Tamandua tetradactyla: one gene and its partner. The main gene of each other region encodes a partner of the protein of the gene in region 2 in a complex. Links are inferred from orthologs where the notes say so. Each region holds a gene or a part of one and is shown on either strand. Other genes may lie near its edges.

Region 1 (11,042 bases), on a different chromosome or scaffold from region 2:
AAACTATGAGGGCAAGAGCACTAGACCAATGACTGACAGCAGGGTCCTAACCCCACCTTCACACTGACTGCCTGTTCTGGCTAAGCAAACTTGGTCAAGCTTCTTAACTTACTTTCTTAACTAAACAGAAATAGTTATTCTATCTCATAGCACAGTAAGAAGAATCAAATAAGTACAAAAACAAACAAACAAATAGCAAGTTATATAAATGCAAGGGTAGTATTCCCCAACACCAATTTCTCCCTGCTCCCGCTCAGCCCACCCCAGTGGAGAGGAGAGAGTTCAAATGACTTACCAGTGGCTCTATTGTGCTGAGGTCTCTAATTTTGTTGCCACTTAAATTTAGATGCATGAGGTTCGGACACTTTTCTGCCAATATTTCCAGGCCCCCTGAGATTCTGTTATCACTTAGTTCAAGCTAAACAAGGCAGGGAAAGAAAAAGCAGAAATGGCTCCTAAAACCAAGGCACTCAGTGCAGAGCTGTGTGGATCTCCCCCCATCCAAGAGAAAGGGCAAGTTGTCTCAAGGAATTATCTGGCATGTTGGTGCATGCACCTGGTTTTATACCTGCAATTATGCTCCTGAAACACAAAGTAATCCCTTCCTCCTCCCAACACACACATACTCCCTACACTCTCATATTTACCTTCTTAAGTTTGTTTAACTTTGGTAAGTTTGCGACTGAGGTGAGGCCTACATTGATTGTACTTAAGAACTCCAGTTCTTCAAATTCATCTGTGAGGCCTTCGATTTTGCCTTCATTCGACCGACAGTTGTCCAGGACAAGCTCTTTCACCTGGAAAGGAAAGTTATGCATGAATGGAAGTTAAGGGAAGGCAGAAGTAGTGGAAACGGTGACAGAGAGCCCTCCTTTGTGGGTATGGAGACAGAGCTTTTCTGGTTCTTCTGGATCACTGTTCTGCCAATGATCAAAGGACAGTTCACCTATCCTGGTCTTTCTGCCTTCAGCACTATTGAGGAGAAAAGGAGGGTCGGGTTGCAGAGTTGCCAAACCAGGAAGCCACTTCAGACAGGAGCTTTTGCTGGACTGGAGGAGACAAATCCAACAGGCTCTGTTGCTATGCCCAGGAAGGTGGTTTTATTCCAACCCTAATGCCACATTCTCCCCCAAACCCCATTTAAAACGAAAACACCAGTCCCACAGCTCCCTACCAGGACTGGCCACTATGTTGTTGAGGACCTCTGGGCCTAGGACTCAACACTATCAGATCTCCCCTGACTCCAGTGCCTTTTTTATGACCCCAACCTAACCATCCCAGCTACCTACTTCTGATCCTCACCGCCCCACTTCCTTTTGCCTCCACGAGTCCCTGACCTGCTGCCTGCTGACAGTTTCCCAGATTCACACACATGCTCGCTCTCACCAGCTCCTGACATCAGGCAAAGCCTGCCCACCTGATGCTGGCATTCATCACCAAGGTCACCCATTGGCCTGCTCCACGACGGGCAGCAGACCAGGACTCTTCTTCCTCTCCAGACCAGCACTGTCCAATAGAACATCCAGCAATTTGGGCAATGTTCCTCACTGTCTAAGAGAGTAGCCACTAGCTACATGTGGCTTCTGAGCACTCAAAATGTGGCTAGTGTGACCGATGAACTGAATTTTAAATTCAATTTTAATTAAGTATTAAGAATTATATAGAACAACACAACTTTAATTTTGCTCTTCGGGGTCCTGAGCAAAGAAGTGGGAGGCAAAAATGGAAATCAAGCCACAAACCTAAGGTTGGCCCATGACATGCTGAGGTTGGCAAAGCCTAAAAGGCCTTTGGCAGTACCTCTGACCTCTTATCCCTCTCCAACTCCCTAGAGGTAGTTTTGCCTTATTAGAGTCCTTATGTTCTCCCTTCTCCTCTTACCACAAATTTGAGTCTTAAAACCCTTTATTTCTTGAAGCTGAATGTGAGAATGACAGGCACAAATGAGATCAGAAGGAAAGACAGACGATAAAGACTAAGATGGTATAATCTAGGAATGCCTAGAGTGTACAATGATAGTGACCAAATGTACAAATTATAAAATGTTTTTGCATGAGGAAGAACAAAGGAACGTCAGTATTGCAGGGTGCTGAAAACATGGTAATTCATATTTTAAAAACTTTAATTTATGTGAGACTAAAGCAAAACAATGTTTATTTGGTAAAAAATTTATAATTTGACTAGTGCATTTCCTAATATAAATTGTGTGGACAGTTTAATTGAATACCACAAGTACATGGAACCTTGAGTAGGGCATGAGAGTTTGTAGGTTTGTCCAGAGTGATGCCCCGATGAATCCCAGAGTGATTTGATCAGTGAGTGGAAAAGTATTTGCAAAGTCCCCTTCAGGGAATGGTGAGAATGGGGAGAAATGCAACTTTCCCAAGTTGAATTCTTGATATTCTCACAAGCAGTGTGGACAACCAAAGCTACAGGCTGAGCCCCCAATCTTGGGGTTTGCTCATATGAAACTTAACCCCACAAAGGATAGGTCAAGCCTACTTAAAATTTAGGCCTAAGAGTCACCCCCAAGAGAACCTCTTTTGTTGCTCAGATGTGGCCTCTCTCTCAGTCAGCAGGACAAGCAAACTCACTGCCCCCCCCCCCCCAACGTGGGACATGACTACCAGGGGTGTGGACCTTCCTGGCAATGTGGGACAGAAATCCTAGAATGAGCTGGGACTCAGCATCAAGGGATTGAGAAAACCTTCTTGACCTAAATGGGGAAGAGTGAAATGAGACAAAATAAAGTGTCAATGGCTGAGAGATTTCAAACAGAGTTGAGAGGTTATCCCGGAGGTTGTTCTTACGCATTATTTAGATATCACCTTTTTAGTTATGTTATATTGGAGAGGTTGAAGGGAAGTGCCTGAAAATGCAGAGCTGTGTTCCAGTAGCCATGTTTCTTGAAGATGATTGTATAATGATACAGCTTTCTCAATGTGACTGTGTGATTGTGAAAACCTTGTGTCTCATGCTCCTTTTATCTACGGTATGGACAAATAAGTAAAACATAGGGATTAAAAATAAATAAATAATAGGTGGAACAAATGTTAAATTTAGTAAATTGAACTGCTAGTGATTAATGAAAGGGAATGGTAATGGGAATAGAAAAAAATAGGGGAAACAAAGGCTAAAATATATTGGGTAGATGGAAATATTAGTAGTCCAATGAGAGGGAAAGGTAAAGGGTATGTTATGTATGAGTTTTGTTCTCTTTTCTTTTTCTGAATTAATGCAAATGTTCTAAGAAATGATCACAGTGATGATACTTTGAGTTTTTGACTATATACCAAGAATGGAATGATCATATGCTAATAATGTTCACATTTGTATGTTATGTTTAAAAAAATTAAAAACAAAAACAACTTTTATTTCTAAGGAGACAGAAGGAGGCTTTTAGAAGTAGATTTGTCTTAAATGCAGGAATAGAGTTGCAAGTGAAATTCCAGGCTCTAGTAAAGATGGTAGGAAGATCATCTGAGAGAAAGTAATTAAGTCTCAGGCATGAAATAAACCAGGGCTGAAAAGCTCCTTAAAGGTGATCCCTCAGGGCTGTATCTGATACTCAAAACCCCCTATAATACCCAGCCCAGGATCACAGCCATCCTCACCTTTCTACTACCTGCAGCCTGCCAGGAAACATTTACTGATGTCTCCTGGGACTTCCAGACTTCCATCCACAGGTCCTGATTTTTCACCAATAGCTCACATGGAACAGGTTTGTCCTCAATAGTAGCCCTCCAATTGTCTGAAGTCTTTTCTTCTCTTAGACAGGCAGATGGACATTCAACCCAGCCCTTGTCTAGGGCAGTTCCTTCCCTCCCACCCTCCACAGTGCCCCAGGCTCTGAGCAGGCCAGTTTGTCTAGCTTCCAAAGGGTCCAAGATGACCACAGCTTGTCACAGTCCTCCAGGTGGGGTAGAAAGAATAGTGTCTCCCTCCTACTCAGGCATCTCTGAGCCAAGCGGAAACTTGGAAGAAGAGCTGGGGACAGGATACCCAGCCTCCCCTTGGTCCATCCCTGCCAGCAGGGGACCCCTGAGGGCACACCTGCATCTGAGTCCTGCAGGGGCCCACAGCTACTCTGTTTCCAATTTTTCCTCAGAACAGAGGCAGAGCACCCTGTCTCAGCCAGCAGCAGTTTTTAGGTTTGATCTGGCATAGATCACAGAGGATAAAACCCAGGGAATGGCAGCTCTTTCCCAGAGATACCCTGGCCACCAAGGCCCACCTTTCTGAAATTGGTTCTGAGATGAAATAAGTTAAGTTCCTTTCTTACCCTCCTCAAGCCCCAGGAGAGGCTAGATGGCCAGGTCAAACCACCTTCTCAAAGTTGTTGGCCAAGAGTGCCTGGGAATAAATTCTGTGAGGCCTTCTGCTCTCGGACAGGAAAACAATACAGAGTCAGGAAGCCAGGCTGTAGGAGATCAGAGCGAACATACAGAAATCAACTATATTGAGGGAGGGAGGGGGAACCATCGCTTTCATTTGCAGTAAACACTGGAGTCACAAGGTCTAAAAAAGAAGTTAATAAAGAAGACTAAACAGTCTTCTTTAGTAACTGGCTTCCTTGGAAGGCCCTGGGAATTCTTTTAAGCTCCCACAAAGAAAGACAAATATGAAAAGGGATTCCAGTCCACCCTCAAAGATTTCAGACGTGGTTTTGCTAGATGGGTCAAGGGCTTCTCCTCTTACTGCCATTAACCAAGGAGAGGAGAGCCTCAGAAATGGGGGAAGGGAGTGCTGGGGAGTCAGGGAATTCCTCCTGGAAGTTGGCCTCTTTCCCAGAGAGGCACAATACTGCCTGCCACTCCTGCTGGCAGCCTAGGAATACTACAGACACAGGGCAGGGTTTCAAAGCTCAGACCAGGATACTTCCCAGCTCCCAACACCACACCCAAACTCGGGGACAGTACACAAGCCACTGCCATTACTAACTTTATTACTAATAATCCCAGAATCTTTCTTGAGCCTTTTCAGGCACACTCTAGGTATATCACATGCATTATATTGGGGTAGTCTCCTCATCTTATACTCACAGCAGAACTACCTATCTGAAAGTCCCAATTAATATGGTTGAATGAGACACTTCAGGGCTCTGTTCCCCCACAGAAGCTTTGAACGACCAGCAACAACTGGCAAAAATAATCTTTCTTAAGTTCTAGAAAACAGTTAAACGACTGCAGTAACAGGTCAAGAACCGAACCAAACCAAGAAAAAGACAAATTAAAAGTAACAGGATCTTTCGAAGCTCTGGCTGGTCAACCTGCACTCCCAGTGTGAGCTCTGGGCCTGGTTACAGAAGGAGCAAAGTAACCCTCTTTGACATACGGGGAACATGTATGTCTGGCCTGACCTATCCGGTGGTGACTTGAGGGATTTGCTGTCCCAGAACTTGGCTTGCATGTAGAGGAGGCAGTTCACTGAGGTCTCCTACAAAGCATTGTGGGAGAGCAGTCAAGCCGTGCTGCCTGGAGCAAGGGGTTGCTGGCTGTAGGACAAACAGTACTGTGCCCAGAATGGTGAGAAAACAGTTTTCTAGGGATGAGGGGACACGTGGAACCGCATACATGAGGGAATTTCTAGGGCCGTGAGCACATGCCCAAGGTAAGAGGCCCGTAGGAAAAGATCAAGGAAGCCCCAGGCTTTGGCTTGGAGCTATTCTCCAAATTGACTGTGCAGATAAGCTCTGAAGGGCAGCACTTGCATAGATCAATCTGCTAAGACTGGGAAAGGTGTTTCCTTTTTTACTGTTAATTCCTGGCATTCAAAGAAAGCACTATCAGAATACTAGCTTGATAAAAGCTTAAGGAATTGGGGACTCAAAATCTAAATTTCAAGATAGCACACTAAAATATCAAAATAGCCAGGTTTCACAAAAGACTGTAAAACATACAAAAGATACAGGAAGAGATGGCACAGACAAGAGAGAAAATTAAAGCCTTAGAAACCATCAATGAGGAGAACCAGATCTGAGATGTATCAGTCAGATTTTTAAAAATCAGTCCCAAATATACTCAGGATGCTGAAGGAAAACATGGACAAAGAACTAAGGGAAATCAGGAAAAGGACAGATGAACATAAAGAGAACAGAGAGATGGAAATTATGAAAAGGAACCAAACAGAGCTGAAAAACCATAGTAACAGAAATGTAAGTTCCCAGGAAGGGTTCAACAGCTTATTGGAGCTCGCAGAAGAAAAAATCAGTGGGGCTTGAAGACAACAGAAATCATCCAGTCTGAGGAGGAGAAAAAAGAAAAAAATGAAGAAAAGTGAACAGAGCCTGAAGAACCTGTGGGACATCATCAAGCTTATCACCATTGTGGGGGTCCCAGAAAGAGAGGAAAGGGGCAGAGGGAATATTCAAAGAAATAATGGCTGAAAACTCCCCAAATTAAGCAAACACATGAATATACATATTCAGGATGTTCAATGAACTCCACACAGGATAAAACCAAATAGATCCATGCCTTGCCATGTTATAATCAAACTGCTGACTGCCAAGGATAAAGAGAGGATTCTTAAGACTACAAAAGAGAAGCTAAATGCCACATACAGGGGTGCCTCAATAAGATTCAAGTGCTGGTTTCTCTATGGAAACCAAGGAGGCAGGAAGGCACTGAAGACAGATTTAAAATGCTAAAAGCAAAAAAAAAAAAAAAAATCACCAAGCAAGAATTCTGTATCCAGCAAAACTGTCTTTCAACAATGAAGGAAATGTTGTGATATACTTTGAAATTTATTGCTTTTATGTATATATATGCTATTTAAAGAAGAGACGTATAACAGAGAAGAAAGGATTTAACAAATGAGTATGACTCCTGAATCATTATATTGATATTTCTGTTGGTCTCTAGTGTCTTAAGAGCAGCTACAAGAAAAAAAATAAAATAAAATTGTGGAACCATAACCAATACCAAACATGAAAATTTGTTCTATAAGTACTTGTTAAAATGTACTTGGAAATTTATTGCTTTTTTGTGTGTATGTTATATTTCACAATTTAAAGAAAATATTTAAAAAATGAAGGAGATTACATTTCTGAATACAGTTAAAAAGGGAGAAATTTTAGTTGGTATGTTACTAAAATAAAAAAAAATAAATAAAAAGAGGAAGGAACTAAGACACTCACAGACAAACAAGAACTGAGGGACATTGTAATCAGTTATCTGACCTTATAAGAAATGCTAAAGGGAGTTCTTCAGTTGAAAGGGAGGAACACTAGACACTGATTGAAGCCATAGGAAGAAATAAAGATCTCCAGTAAAGACAGTGAAATGAGTAAATATAAATACCCGCACTATCATATTTTAAATTTGAAACTCCACTTTTTGCTTCCCACAAATAATCAACGGTTTTGGATTTATAACGTATAAATATGTAATCTATGACAAGAATTACACAAAGGTGAGGTGATAGAGGGGTACAGGAACACAGTTTATATATGCTCTTAGAAGTTAAGGTGGTATCAAAGCAAATGAGGCTGCTAAAGATTTAAAATGTTATAAGCCCCATCATAACCACAAAAAAAAATCAGAAAACAGGGTAGAGGTTGTCAGAGGTGGGGAACAGGGGAAATGGGGAGTTAATGTAAAACGAGTGTAGAGTTTCTGTTTGCGGTGGAGGGAAAGTTCTAGTAATGGATGGTGGTGATTAAGTGAATAGTATCCTTGGGAGGGACTGGGATGGATAAATTTATGTTATATATATGTTTTCACATTTAAAAAAGAATTAAAAGCAATGTATGATACTGGATGGGATATAAGAATGGAGGAGAAAAGGTTCAAAAAGACATTATTGGGACACAAGAAAATACGAGAATGTAAAATGTAAGGTATATATCAATATTAAATTTCCTGAACTTGAAAACTGTACTTTGGGTAATTTCATAAATGAATATCCTTGTTTGTAAGAAATGTACATGGAATTATCACATATTTAAGCAGTATGATGTATGCAACCTACTCTCAAATGTTCAGACAACAGCTAGATAGATACAGGCAGACAGACAGGATAAATGGAAGATAGAAGGATATGTCAAAGGTGGCAAGATGTTAAAATGGTAGATCTGGGTATCTGGGGGCGTGGGGGTATGCTGGAGTTTTCTGTATGGGGTCTGTGTTATTTTTGTAACTATACTGTGCGTGAGTCTGATATTATTTTAAAATATGAAGTTTTGGTTGTTTTTTTTTTTTTTTAATAAGGTAGGAGTTGGGGTGAACCACTTATCCTAAAATCTCAGGACTTGACCCTAGAGGGGTACATACTAATCAAGGTGGTCAGTGTTGGCTTTAAAGATGAAATTTATAAAGAGACTGTTCAACTCAACAACAGTAAGACAGCCAACCCAATTACAAAATGGGCAAAAGACTTGAACAAACACTTCTCAGAAGAGGAAATACAAACGGCCAAAAGGCACATGAAGAGATGCTCAACTTCCCTGGCTATTAGAGAAATGCAAATCAAAACCACAATGAGATATCATCTCACACCCACCAGAATGGCCATTATCAATAAAACAGAAAAAAAAAAAAAAAAAAAAAAAAAGATGAAAAGGGCACAAACTCTCCCAGAACATCAACTCAAGTGTAGAAGTTCCCTTAACCACAACTGTTCCCTTTAACCCCTTTTCCAGCTGTCCCATTAGCTGGGTGGGCGCCACTTCTAGCAGTCCCAGATGTTACACAGTCCTTTGGTTACACTTCCTTGGTAACCAAAGGACAAAACCCAGCTGGGCCCTTGCTCAGATGATGCTGCAGTCAGAAAGCAAGAATCTGGAGGGACCCTGAAGCGTCTGGGAACCAAGCTCTCTCCTCCAGGAGCTGAAAAGATGTTCCCATTCACTTGAGAAACCCTATGGTTTCTGAAGGACCAGATGGCTGTTAATAGTCGAGGTAGTAGAGTCTCTGGAATGCCCACTGCATGTGTACTTCCTTCCTGGTAGGGGTTTCAGCACTGTTTGAGGTGAGATCAAAGAGAAAAGGGAGAGGTCAGGACTTTGATTTTGAGGTTGGTGAATATCACCAAAAAGCCTAAAGCCACATGGTGGGGAGCCCACGACTTCTTCTGCAAGGCAAGGCAGGATGGTGTGTTACACTGGGGACAGCAGGATAGGCTGCCTGTGAAGTGTCTAAACAAATCAAACAAGGCAAAGCAAAATCACCAGCTCAACAGTTGACCTGTGAATGTTACTTAGCCCATCCCCCACCTCCATGGAGAGTCTCAGGATAGGCTAACATGTTTCAAAACTTCTGACCCCAGAGATTTAAGATTCTTAACTCCTTCTGTTGCAATTCCAACCCCATTCCTCTCATCTGTACTGGGCAGCCTCTGCTCTAAAAACCTTCAAAATGAAAAGAACATACCTTTCACATCCAGGGTGTGTTCTGTTTAAAAAAGAAAGAAAAGGAAAAAAAAAAAAATTAAGGCCCATTTCCTTTGCCAAGTCCTGGGTGTGAGCTAAGTGCAAAGTTAAAGGAGTTAAAATTAAACTGAAAATTTGTACTTTGGGTTTAGAGTTACAATACTACTGGCCATTTAAAAATATCTGAATGTGGTTACTTTCTCTAGTCCAACAACTGGAATTACTCAGTATAAAGAACTTTCAATCCCCTAAAACAAACCTACACAGGATTGTATGCTTCATTCTTCAAATTTAACACTCAAGAGGACCCCTCATATTCATAATACTCAGTCCCCAAAAGATGTGACTGGGAAGGCAATGAAGATTCCAAAGAAATCAGATTGCGGGAAATGGAGTAGGTGGTAAAATGGCTGAGGGGCTCAGCAATGCCAGGGCCCCTGAATTTCCTGAAAAAACTTGATCCCAAGTAAGGGGACACATCAGTCATTTCTCAACAATGGGAGCTGAAATTCTGATTATAAACATGTATGTGTTACTAACTCTTAAGGAACAACCATTGCTTATTTCAAAACTGTGAAATCTTGTCCTTAAAACTCTTAAATTTGACCTTTCCTCTCCATTCTCAATATTGCAGCCCTGGTCCCTGTCATTTCAAGCCTGTTTTTGCCTCCAAAGCAGGGCTCTGTGACTGGGAGGAAGGAAGTGGTGAGGAGGCAGCCTGGACCACTTGGAAATAAGCTTTGACGTGGAGTCGAAGGACCAACCGGCTCAATGACCTAGCTATATCGCCAAGCACGATATTCTGCCTCTACAGAAAGGAGATAATATCTGTTTAACTTACAAAGTGCAAACTCCAGCCTACAGAAAATATTCCTGGCTTCCCACTGCTCCTGGAAAAAAAATTCAAGTCCCTAAACATAATCTACAAGGCCCCCCATTCTCAACCCCCCAATCCCCATTTCCTCCAATCTCATCACTTCCCACCTCACCCTTGAACTACAACTCTAGTTCAAATCCCCCTCGCCAGGAAGCCTTCCCATCACCCAGCTCTGAGCATCCTGGGGGTGAGGGCAGCCGCCACATGAATCATTTAATTGTCTATTAAGCATTCGATCCTCCTCAGTCAGGGATTGTCCTCTGTAATCAGCCTAATGGGGAGCTGGACACTAAAGCAATCGCTTAACGAATGTCTTCTTTATTGTGCCAGATACAATAAGAGAAGCTGGGAATGAGGTAGTGAGTCAAACCATCATGAAACTTGCATTGTAACTAGGTGAATAAATGTTGAACAAGCATTATTTTTTATAAACAACAATAAAAATGTTTTTTAGGTGTCTATGCCCCCAACTCAAGCATAAGCTCCTGGGAGGCAAGTCAATGGTGCAAGCTCCTCCAGACTTCACCCAGTGCTCGGCACACAGGGCCCCAGCTGTGTGAAACCACTATCCACACAGGGTGCACAGAAATGCTGTTCTCCTGGGCAAAATGCCAACAGGACATGGCGGCTACAGTGAGCCAAGGCTGGAGTCCTTGCCTGTAAGAGGTGCAGTAGAGACCTGGGAGAAGACAAACAGCTATAGTTCAGTGTGCTAGGCAGCAGGACTGATGTTGGGACAGAGTTCATTCTTCAAATGCCTCCACCACAGATAGGATAGGCACACTACATAGACAAAGT
Region 2 (10,193 bases):
GGGTTTGGCAGGTAAGTGTAAGGCTTCTGAAAAGCTCATTTGGGAAAGAGTTGCCAGGAAACAAGCCCCTTCTGGCCCTGGCCAGCTTGGGAGATCTGTGGGCTGGGCAGGGAGACTAGAGTTTGGCAGGGAGGCTGTTTGGGGCCTTTGACCTCTCCATTCCAAACTTGTCTCTTTTATGTTTGTTGCTAGTGCTGTGGCTGGGATTTTGGGCCTCAGGACCACAAGTTTTCGTGATGGGTCATTTTCTCTCTCATCCCTGAGAGAAGCACAGAGCCTGGCATTCACTGGACTGAATCTGGTTGCCAGGGATGAAGGCTTATGTGACCAAGACCCAGCAGAGGGAAGTAGACGGGCCTTCCCACTCTGCCAGCTTCCTGGAGCCGTGCATCTCCTCCCCCTCGTACAGTTCTTCATCGGCTTACATTGCCAGGCCCTGCACGATTTGACAGCAACTAAGAGAAGTGGAGCACCTGGGGATTCACAGACACATTCCTCTTGTGTGAGCTCTGGGGTAGAGGCCGGCCCCGAGGACTCACTTTGCAACCTGGAAGGCTTCTCTGTTGCTTCACTTAGCATTCTTCAGCACCTTGTGTGCCACAGCGGAGCAGTTGTCTGCCTGTTACTGTCGGGAGTTGGGGCAGATTCTAGAAACAGAAACGAGAGCCTAGCTCACAGACATGGTCATGAGGATATGACCTCAGTTCCAAAGGAGGTTGCTGATGACCAAGCTCAGCATCCACTATTGAAGATGCTTCTTCACCTGTTGGCCTTCTCTTCTGCAGCAGCAGGTCATGTGCAAGCCAGTGTCCTGAGCCAGTGTCTTAAGGTTTTCGTGAAATTAGCTGAAAATGCTTCGTTTGATTTTTTGCCCAGGTATAAAGCAGGGTGGGAGTTATGGTTCCTTATGGGTCTTACTTACGAGGTCTAGCCTGTGAACTCTTGTACTTTGTTCCCATCCTTGATTTATTTACCCTGCTCAGTTCTAAGACTTGGTTCAGGGAGGGCTAGGTGTTGGGAGAACCAAGAAAGTGGTTTATTTGGTTTAATTCTGCTTCTGTACAGCAGGTAAACAGAAGGCATGCATAAGAAAAGGAAGCTGTTAGCTACTATGGAAGAGGGTCCTGCCCCTAGGACCAAAGGCTGAACCAAGAGGTCTTTGAACCTGGGGCATGGATCAGGTGAAGGCCACACAGCCACAGTTAATTTTGGTAGGGTTCCGTAAGGAAGCAGAAGATATGGGGAGTGGGCCCTGCTGGGAGTCTAATCATCACTGTGCCTGCCTCTGGCATGAGCTACAGATTGCTTCCTGTTCCTCTTGAGGTTTGTTGGAAGTGGTAGAAAAATCCTAGCTTGGGATGCCAGGACCTCAAGACTGGGAAGAACTGTAAACACCTTGCAGCCCACCCTCCATCCAGTAATTCAGTCTCCTGCAGAGCACTCCAAGGGGCCAGTTCCTAGGTTGGAATGACTCCACTGGCTAGGAGTATCTTAAGTCTTCTCATCTCTGAGTTCCTTAAAACACTGCTGGATTCTGGTTTGCATCTGAATACATTCTGATTGGTCTGGTCCATCCTGAAAGCAGTGCTCACTCTGAACACAGTACGGCAGTGTAGGAGGAGCGGCACAGTGGGGGACACAACCCTGGTGCTTAGCTCATAGTAGCTGATTGCTCATTTCATATTTGTTCTTTAATGAATCAACTCCAGAAACCAAGTTTTCACCAGCTTTTTTGGCAGGCACACCAACATTCCATTCCTGTTGAGCTTCTCCACGAGGACATTTAAAAACAGCCATTTAATGAGTGCTGACTATAGGCCAGATACTGTGCCAGCGGCCTTCCATTCATTAGCTCCCGTGACACCCTCATAGCCCTGCTTCCTCATACCTAGTGCAGAGCCTGGCTTATTGTAAGTATTTGGTGAGTGAATAAATGCTAAACTGTAGGAAGTGTAGTATGGATGAGGGTGAGTTTCAGGCCAGGTGTCAAGTCTCCAGAGTCATTGTCCTTGATCACTGTCTCACACCAGTGAGTCTCTTCAGAATTCTTTCCTGCTTTTTGTGCTTAAGTAGAACTCCACTACCACATGGCTGCCTGTCTGCTTTGGAGTGAAAACCAAGCAGGAACAGGATTCTCAAGGCTCTAAAGCAATGTGATGCAATACCAATAATCAAGAAGGCTGCAGTTGTCTTATGGTCCTTAACTATCCCCTCATATCTTTATCTTTCCTACTGTGTCTCTAGTAGCCCTAGGGGTCCAGGGTTGTTCCCCAGGGACTGGCAGGGGTTCTGAGCAAATAAGAGTTCACTCCCAATTTAACCAGATCAGCGTGTTACCTATTTGGTATATTGGAACTTTACCAAAAACTTCACTTAAAAAGAAGGTTCCCATGCTATTGAAAAGTAAATTGGAAACCCCTGTGTCATATATGAAGGTGGACTTTCGCCCAAGTAGTTTCAGGGGCTTTAGTGGACTAGTTCGGAATCAGTTCTAACCTTATTTAAATTCCAGTTTCCCACAAAATCCCACATAACTTGGCAACTGAAGAACATGTAGCATGTCTGCTGTGTAGGATTTGCTCTAAATGAGTTCACCCAAAATAGAATGAGACTCTGCTTCTAATGACATACTGAGGAATATTTTGGTCCACTGGGCTTTGTGCTAACACCCTGCAGGTGCATGAAAGGTATGCACAAGCTAGACCCAGGGGTTGTTTTAGAATTGCCCTCCCACCTACCAAGCTAGTCCTGCCTCATACTCCCCTGAGCTGTGTGGACTGTGCAAACTGCAGTGGTTGTGTTGGGATTTGGTTCCTTGGTAAAAGTCATCCCTTTGCCCCTGGGACCTGGGAGAGAGTGTGCCTAGAGCCCTTCGTCAGTGCACAAGGCCACTGCAGACACCTCACGCTTGGCAGCAGAGGAGCCTGATGTCTTCTGACAAATGGTCTTCCTTGCTCTGAGTGTGATCTCATCGGTTCCAACCATAGTGAAGTCCACATTTGTCACAGCAGGAGCTCTGTTCAGTCCTTTGATGGTGGGCCTAGAATATTTCTCTCACACCAAATAATGGCTTGTACCATATTTGGTATCAATGGCAAGAAAGAGCCCAGGAGCTGGGTGGAAGCCAGGCCTCCTGGGTCCAGGGAGTTTGCTCCCATTTCCTGCGTGATGCAGTATCAGGTGAGGGACTGTCATCTCTAACCACAGCAGTCCAATAAAGGTCAGTACCCCTGTTTTCATGAAAAAAATGAGTTTCACAGCAAGTAGGTGGTAGTCAGCATTCAAACCCAAGTCTGGATGAACTGAGTCTCTTCTTTGTACTGCTGTGATCTGATTTCCCATTGCCTGTAGTGAAAAGTGAGGGTGAATGGTAGATTGGGGTTGGGAAGTGTTACATCTCTCTGGACCCTTGTTTTTTAGGTTCCAGTGTATGTTCCAGGTGCTGCCACAGTGTCTCAGCCCAGAGACACCCCTGCCTAGTGTGCTGTTGACCATTAAGCTCCTCTCTCTCCTGGTGGACCACGAGAAGCTCACCCCTCAGCTCTGTTCCCACTCAGGTAAAATGGGGTGGTGGGTGGACATCTGGGCTGCTGCAGATTGGAGGGAAAGGTTGTGGAGGGTCAGGGCCTCCTGGGGGCTTCTGCAGCTCATACCCTGAGCTCTGGGTGAGAAGGGGGCTCTGAGTGAGAGGTGGGCATCCTTTTCAGAAGGCTGCCTCCTCCTTCTGCTGTACACGTACATCACATCAAGGCCTGACAGAGTGGCCTCAGAGACACAGTGGCTTCAGCTGGAACAAGAGGTAAAATCTCCAGAGACCTTTCCAGGGACTGCTCACCATCCCACTCATGCCAAGGCCCCACGGAACCTCCTTTCTCTATCCTTCCCATCCTGAGAAGCGTGGGAGCTTTAATTCATTTAGGTAAGAGTTTATCAGGCAGCTGAGGAGGTGAACTTGGTTTGGGGACCCCATGCCATGCAGGTGCATGCCAGGTTGTCCTGGGACTTGCCAGAGTTACCTGATGACTAAGCCTGTTCTGACTTTGGGTCTGGTGACTTGAGCAGGACCTGGAGGCAAATGGGGTTTTTGGAGAGACACATGACAGTTGTGAGTCTGGCCCAGAAAAGCCCAGCACCCTTGGACCCCATTTGTGCAAACAAGCTGGAGCTCTTTTAGAAGCCTGAGAAAGCCCTTGCTTATAATCAGGGCCTCATTATGGTGGCTACAGAACAGTCTTCTTGTTCTAGGCGGTGTGGCTTCTGACTAAGCTTGGTGTGCAGAGCCCCTCCTCCCCAGCCACTGGCTCCAACTGCCAGTGCAATGTGGAGGTGAGTGGACAGGGGCGGGCAGGGGCTGACAGCATGGCAGCTCTGTTGGTGGATAAGGTGGCCCTGGGCAAGGACCCTATGCTCCCTTTAATCATGCTACCCATCACTCAGAACCTTCCTCTCCTGGGTGGGTGGGAAATGTGCTGGTCAGCCTCGTGAGCTGTTAGGGTGCAGGCAGCTGAAAGACTTGACCTCAGTCTGCACCCTCCACCAGGCTGTCAGAGCACTCACAGTGATGCTGCACAGACAGTGGCTAACGGTGCGGAGGGCAGAGGGGCCTCCAAAGACTGACCGGCATAAGCGAATAGTACGATGTCTGCGGGACACAGTGCTGCTGCTGCACAGCCTGTCCCAGAAGGACAAGCTCTTTACTGTGCACTGCGTGGAGGTCCTGCATCAGTATGACCAGGTGATGCCAGGGGTCAGCACGCTCATTCGAGGGCTCCCTGATGTGACAGACTGTGAAGGTGAGTGGGCAAGAGAACCCAGCCCTGTCCTAGCCCTCATGTGGGGTTTTCCCTGAAGTTCATGGACAGGTTAGACTTCTTGCCTTCCTTCAGCAGTCCTCCATCCACCACAGCTCTTTACAACACTGGCGACAGTCTCATTGTCTTGCTCCAGTTCTTTTAGACACGTTGAACTGCCGTTTGCTTATATGTTTTGTTGAGTTGGCCTGGCAGAGCCACGGTTTTTCCAGAGATATCCCTATCTGAATTGCCTTTGTATCACTTTGCTTGCAGTAGCTGAGGGAGCAAGGCCTGGGCGTGGAAGGGACTGGTTAGTTCCTGCGGGTTTTGGGGGAGGAGAGGTGGGACCTCCCCTATTCCCCAGCACTTTCAAGCCTTCATCATAGAACCCTCTTTTTCACTCAGAGGCAGCCCTGGATGACCTTTGTGCTGCTGAGACAGATGTAGACGACCCCGAGATGGACTGTGGCTGAGGTCCGTGAGCATCATGCCACATGGTGGCGCCAGCACTCCTGCTTTCCTCATCTCATCAACTGATTAAAAGCTGTGACAGGTTGTTCTTGCCAAGAACATGCCAGCCTTGGTGTTGTGTTTCCTGAGTCTGTCTGTGTTTGTCTGAGTGGGAGGGATGGAACAGGACTGGTCCCAGGGAAGGCTGGGATCCTTCCTCCTGTCCCTGCCCAGAGTTGAGACCCCATCCCCATGGTAACTAATCTGCTTTGAGGAAAGAGCTCTGCCCAGCCTGTGAAATTGTCCTGAGTCATTGTTTTGGGCTGGGGCCATGGGAAGAAATCAGTGTAAGGCAGGGAAGGAGGTGGCCTTCAGCCCAGGCCTAAACCAGGGAGGTCTGGGAAAGTGGAGCCGAGGGGTGGGCACAAAAGGGTCACAGCAGGAGCTCCCAGCAGTGTTTGAGTCATGGAGCTAGCCTCCCCAGACAGCCTGGGCACCCCTTGTATTTTCAGTTGGTGTCAGCTGGCAAGTCCACAGCTGTGGATCTAAGAAGCCTTAAGGGTGCCATGGCAGCTAGGGGGGAAGGGAGGGTTGCCTGGGGAGGGAACGGGTGTTGGCGAGAGAGGCCCAGGCAGGCTAAGAGAAGAGCAGGGCGGGCCTTGCTCACGCGGGCCTGTGGGCGGGCAAAGGCTGAGTTTCACTTCCCGCCACTGCTGGCCCTTGGCGAGAACCAGCCAGAGCACGCCAGAGTGATTGTGCCTGCCTGCTATTCGGTGAGTGCAGACCCCCAGGGGGATGGGACAGGGTGGATGGCTGTGGGGAGCCCCACCAGGCTAGGTGAGCACTGGGGGAGGGGGCCAAACCCACATGAAGAAGACAGGCCCACCCTCCCTCCAAACTGATAGAGTGTATGCTCCCACTGAGGAAGCTCCCCCGCTCCCCAGCTTCCTGCCCTCCCCACCTTAGATAACTTTTCCACAGGAGCATTCACAATGCCCCACCCCTTCCCCAGGCTCAGCGGCAGGTACTTGCCCCACCATGGGCTCACAGGCCCCACCCCCGGGTCCCATGCAGACCTTCATCTTCTTGGACCTGGAGGCCACTGGCCTGCCCTTTTCCCAGCCCAAGGTCACGGAACTGTGCCTGCTAGCCATCCACAGATGTGCCCTGGAGAGCCCCCCTGCGCCCCAGGGGCCAACCCCTACAGTGCCTCCACTACCCCGGGTGGTAGACAAGCTCTCCCTCTGCGTGGCTCCAGGGAAGGTCTGCAGCCCTGCGGCCAGCAACATCACGGGCCTGAGCACGGCTATGCTGGCAGCACATGGGCGGCAGCGCTTCAATGCCGACCTGGCCAACCTGCTCCAAACCTTCCTACAACGCCAGCCACAGCCCTGGTGCCTGGTAGCACACAACGGTGATCGCTATGACTTCCCCCTGCTCCAGGCAGAGCTGGCTGCAGTGGGCCTTGCCAACACACTGGATGGTGCCTTCTGCGTGGACAGCATCGCTGCCCTGAAGGCCCTGGAGCGAGGCAGCAGCCCCTCTGCGCATGGCCCAAGAAAGAGCTACAGCTTGGGCAGCATCTACACACGCCTATTTGGGCAGAGCCCACCAGACTCGCACACAGCTGAGGGTGACGTCCTGGCCCTGCTCAGCATCTGTCAGTGGAGGCCACAGGCCCTGCTGCGGTGGGTGGATGCTCACGCTAGGCCCTTCAGCACTATCAAACCCATGTACATGGTCACAGCCTCCACTGGGACCAACCCTAGGTCATCTGCTGCCAAAGCCACCGCACCCCTGGCTGTACCCAAAGACACCAGTCCCAGCACAAGGGTGGGCAGGAAGTCCAAGTCTCCTCCTCCAGTGAAGGGCCCTGGAGCCCTACCCAAGAAGGGGCTGCTGGCCCCACTGGGCCTACTGACCCTCCTGACCTTGTTAATAGCCATACTGTATGGGCTGTCCCTGAGTATCCCTGGGCAGTAAGGCCAACAAGGAAAATCTGACTAATAAAGACCCCAACAGCACTACCTGGTCACTCGCCTCCTGCCCTCCTTTGCAACCTGGGCCTCTGCCCACACAGGAACCTGGGGGAGGAGGGGAGATCACAGACCGTGGCACAGTCTTTGTCTTCCACCCTTCCCAGCAGGATGGTCAGAAGTCTAAGCCCAATAAAAGTAGAACCTGGTCAAAAACTGAAATTGTAAGTGTTGAATGGAAATGGTACATCCCAACAGCCAAGGCTATGAAGAAAGGGGCTGCCGCTCCAAATTTGTATTTATTATAAAGAAGTATATAGACCACAGATCCTTTCTTAGAAACACATTAGCAGATACAAAGCTAAGACATTTCTGGTGAAACATTAACAAAAGGGATGGGGAACACCAGGGTATTCATGTCTAGGCCAGAGCTGCCATCCAAGGGCACTGCCCACCTTCGGTCCAGATGGCCCCTGGGTCCAGGTGTCCCCACTGCCAGTATGAATTGTGGACTGAGGTTCAAGAAGCTGGATCACCGTAGGGGTGGTGTCTGGGGAAGTAGGGACTACGAGAAGCTATATTTCCTCTTTTCTGTAAGACGATTTCTCCCCAGGACCCAGAGGTTTCAGCCTCACAGCAAACATCACACACACTTGGAAACAGAACACAGTGGGTAATATTTGGCTAAAAGTAAAACACTGCAGGGAAGAGACCTGAGTCTGTTGGCGGACAGAGGCCACCCTGCCAACCTGTGGCAGGAGTTTGGGCCAGCAAGGGCAGGAAAGCTTCCCCAAGGGCAGCCGTAACCATGGGTGGACGTGGACGTCCAGGTGGTCCCAGGGAGGATGCAGGGCATAGGGAGAGTCCACCAAACAACTGTCACATGCCAAAACTGGCCCTGAGAATGGTCCAGAGTGGGTGGGGCCCTGCCAGAGATGTTTTGGTATCAAGAAGCTGCCAGAGCCCCTTGGCCCACAACCCCAGGCTATGGGCATCTGCCCCAAAGGCTTGAAACCTAACTCAGTCAGATCCAAAACTTTGCCCACTTGCCGGCATCTTGGCTCTGGCACTAGGAAGGGCACCTCACACCCTGGGGCCAAGCTGTGGCATTGAGCAGAGACTGGCTACTCTGCCAAAACAAGGACACATGTCTTGTCCACAAAATGCTTTGCTATCCCCACGAGAGAAGCCCCACCTGATCTCCGTGAGGCATTCTAAAAAATACCACCACCTCAATTCTTCTGAGTTTTGCTTGAGATTTCAGAAAGCATGATTTCAAGTGAATAGGAGGACAAAAAGTTTAGTCCAAGCCCACTCTGGCAAAGATTATTTCCAACCTCAACAGCATCAAAGGAAGCATGTGTAGAGACAGAACACACATATGCACACCACGCATGGGGCAGGAAATAAACGTGCCCACCAATCTACTCACACACACAACACAATCACAGTGGCAGCCAGACTGCTCAGGGGGCCGCCTTTGGGGGATCCATGTAGGCCGGGTTGTAAGGAGGCTGGCTAATGGGGTAGGGCATGGCTGCATCTCCTGAAAATAAAGAGGACACTGGTTGGTTGTGGGCATCATGGGCTACCGTGGAGTGGGCAGACCAGCAGGAAGGGGTAGAGGACCTAACTGAGCCATGCACTCTGGGATGGATGCCCTGGGAGGGATCTGAAGGGGGAGTCCGGACTTCAGGGGTCAAGGGGGTCACAGAGTTGGCTGTGGTACTCACCAGACAAAGTCTCCTGGTAGGCAGGCGGGCCCAAGGGCTGGGTCGGGTAGGGCGGTGGGTACTGCGTCGGGTAGGATGCCACTGGCATCCCTGGGTGGGGAGCCATGGGGTGGTAGCCCTGGTATGTCGGTCCAGGGTATCCGGGTGGCATACTGGGAGCCTGTGGGTATGGGCTGTGCACCACAGTGGTGGATGAGGTGGTGGTCACAACCGCTGCAAAGAGAACCCTGGTCAGGACTCTCCGTCTCCCTGGGTCCTGGGGGCCAGGCTTGCCACCCCACCCTCCAGTTCAGCCAAAGCAGAACCCTGGTTAATTTCCTCTGCCCACCCAAAAGTCTACACCCACACACAGGAAACCACAGGAGGCAGGGTGGGGATGGGCATGCTTACGACGGGGTCGTCGGCACATCTTGTACAAACAGCAGCAGGAACAAGTGAAGCAGATGATAATGGTGACAACAGAGAGCACAAAGATAGTCAGGCCGATGGCCACGGTCGCCCCGAACCTGCCAAGGAGCCAGTCATGACCAAGGGCCTCTAAGCCGTTCCCAGGACGAGCAGTCCACAACTCATCCATTCCCAGGGGCACCCCGCTTGCCAGAACAGACCCTGTGCAATACAGGCAGAGCAACCTCCTGGTATGTAGCTTGAACCAGTTTCAACCTCAGTTTCCCCAAGTGTAAAATGGGGTGGTTTGTGAATATATGTAAACACCTCACCCAGAGACTGCCTCCCTTAGTCCCACCCTAAGGACCTTGGGAGGGGGTTTCTTCAAGCATCTCCTTTCCGCGCCCCTTCCCCCCACCCCAACCACTGCAAATATCAACGAATCAGCGGTTGTTCAAGGAACTCGTGCAATAAGCCAGGCAGTGTGTGATCTGAGCCAAAATCTCAGCAGTGGAAGAGACAGACCAAGTCCTGGCTGCCGGGAGCCCCCAGGCCAGTACAGGGGAGGGAATGTTCCAGGAAAACAAGGCCATGTGGACAGTCGTGAGCTCTGCCCCAACTCCAGCTCCAGGTGGATGCCAGCCTCTTCGAAAAATCAGATCCCTGCTGGCCTTTGCCAAAACTCACTTCCAAAAACAAAGAGCCACTCACTATCCTCTCAGGTTCCCAGTGTGAGGGCAAGCTTGATTCTAATAAAAGGCAAATTCTTGGTAACTGATTAAAAAGCTAAAGACGCTTTGTAACTGTGGGACATCCACCTCCCCTGAGGCCTGGGCGGGGGGGGGGGGGCAGCT

Evidence for each region. Proteins that work in one complex are often made in the same cells at the same time.
Region 1: TREX1 (region 2) and ANP32A share a complex: the UniProt entries of both Homo sapiens proteins name them as parts of the SET complex. The link is inferred for Tamandua tetradactyla from reciprocal best matches to the Homo sapiens genes TREX1 and ANP32A.

What each region holds. Positions count from the first base shown.
Region 1 is NC_135340.1:86,157,758-86,168,799, forward strand, and holds the start of ANP32A (acidic leucine-rich nuclear phosphoprotein 32 family member A), read right to left. Parts: upstream 4,587-11,042; 5' UTR 4,283-4,586; intron 3,769-4,282; 5' UTR 3,681-3,768; coding exon 3,615-3,680; intron 798-3,614; coding exon 648-797; intron 419-647; coding exon 296-418; intron 1-295. UniProt on the Homo sapiens protein: Multifunctional protein that is involved in the regulation of many processes including tumor suppression, apoptosis, cell cycle progression or transcription. Promotes apoptosis by favouring the activation of caspase-9/CASP9 and allowing apoptosome formation.
Region 2 is NC_135341.1:37,815,413-37,825,605, reverse strand, and holds TREX1 (three-prime repair exonuclease 1), read left to right. Parts: upstream 1-5,492; 5' UTR 5,493-5,809; coding exon 5,810-6,016; intron 6,017-6,255; exon of another isoform or gene 6,256-6,281; coding exon of another isoform or gene 6,282-6,365; coding exon 6,366-7,226; 3' UTR 7,227-7,501; downstream 7,502-10,193. Other genes in the region: ATRIP (ATR-interacting protein), read left to right, coding at 1-11, 193-876, 3,421-3,557, 3,708-3,799, 4,246-4,326, 4,541-4,793, 5,199-5,266; SHISA5 (protein shisa-5), read right to left, coding at 8,686-8,765, 8,953-9,165, 9,343-9,458. UniProt on the Homo sapiens protein: Major cellular 3'-to-5' DNA exonuclease which digests single-stranded DNA (ssDNA) and double-stranded DNA (dsDNA) with mismatched 3' termini. Prevents cell-intrinsic initiation of autoimmunity.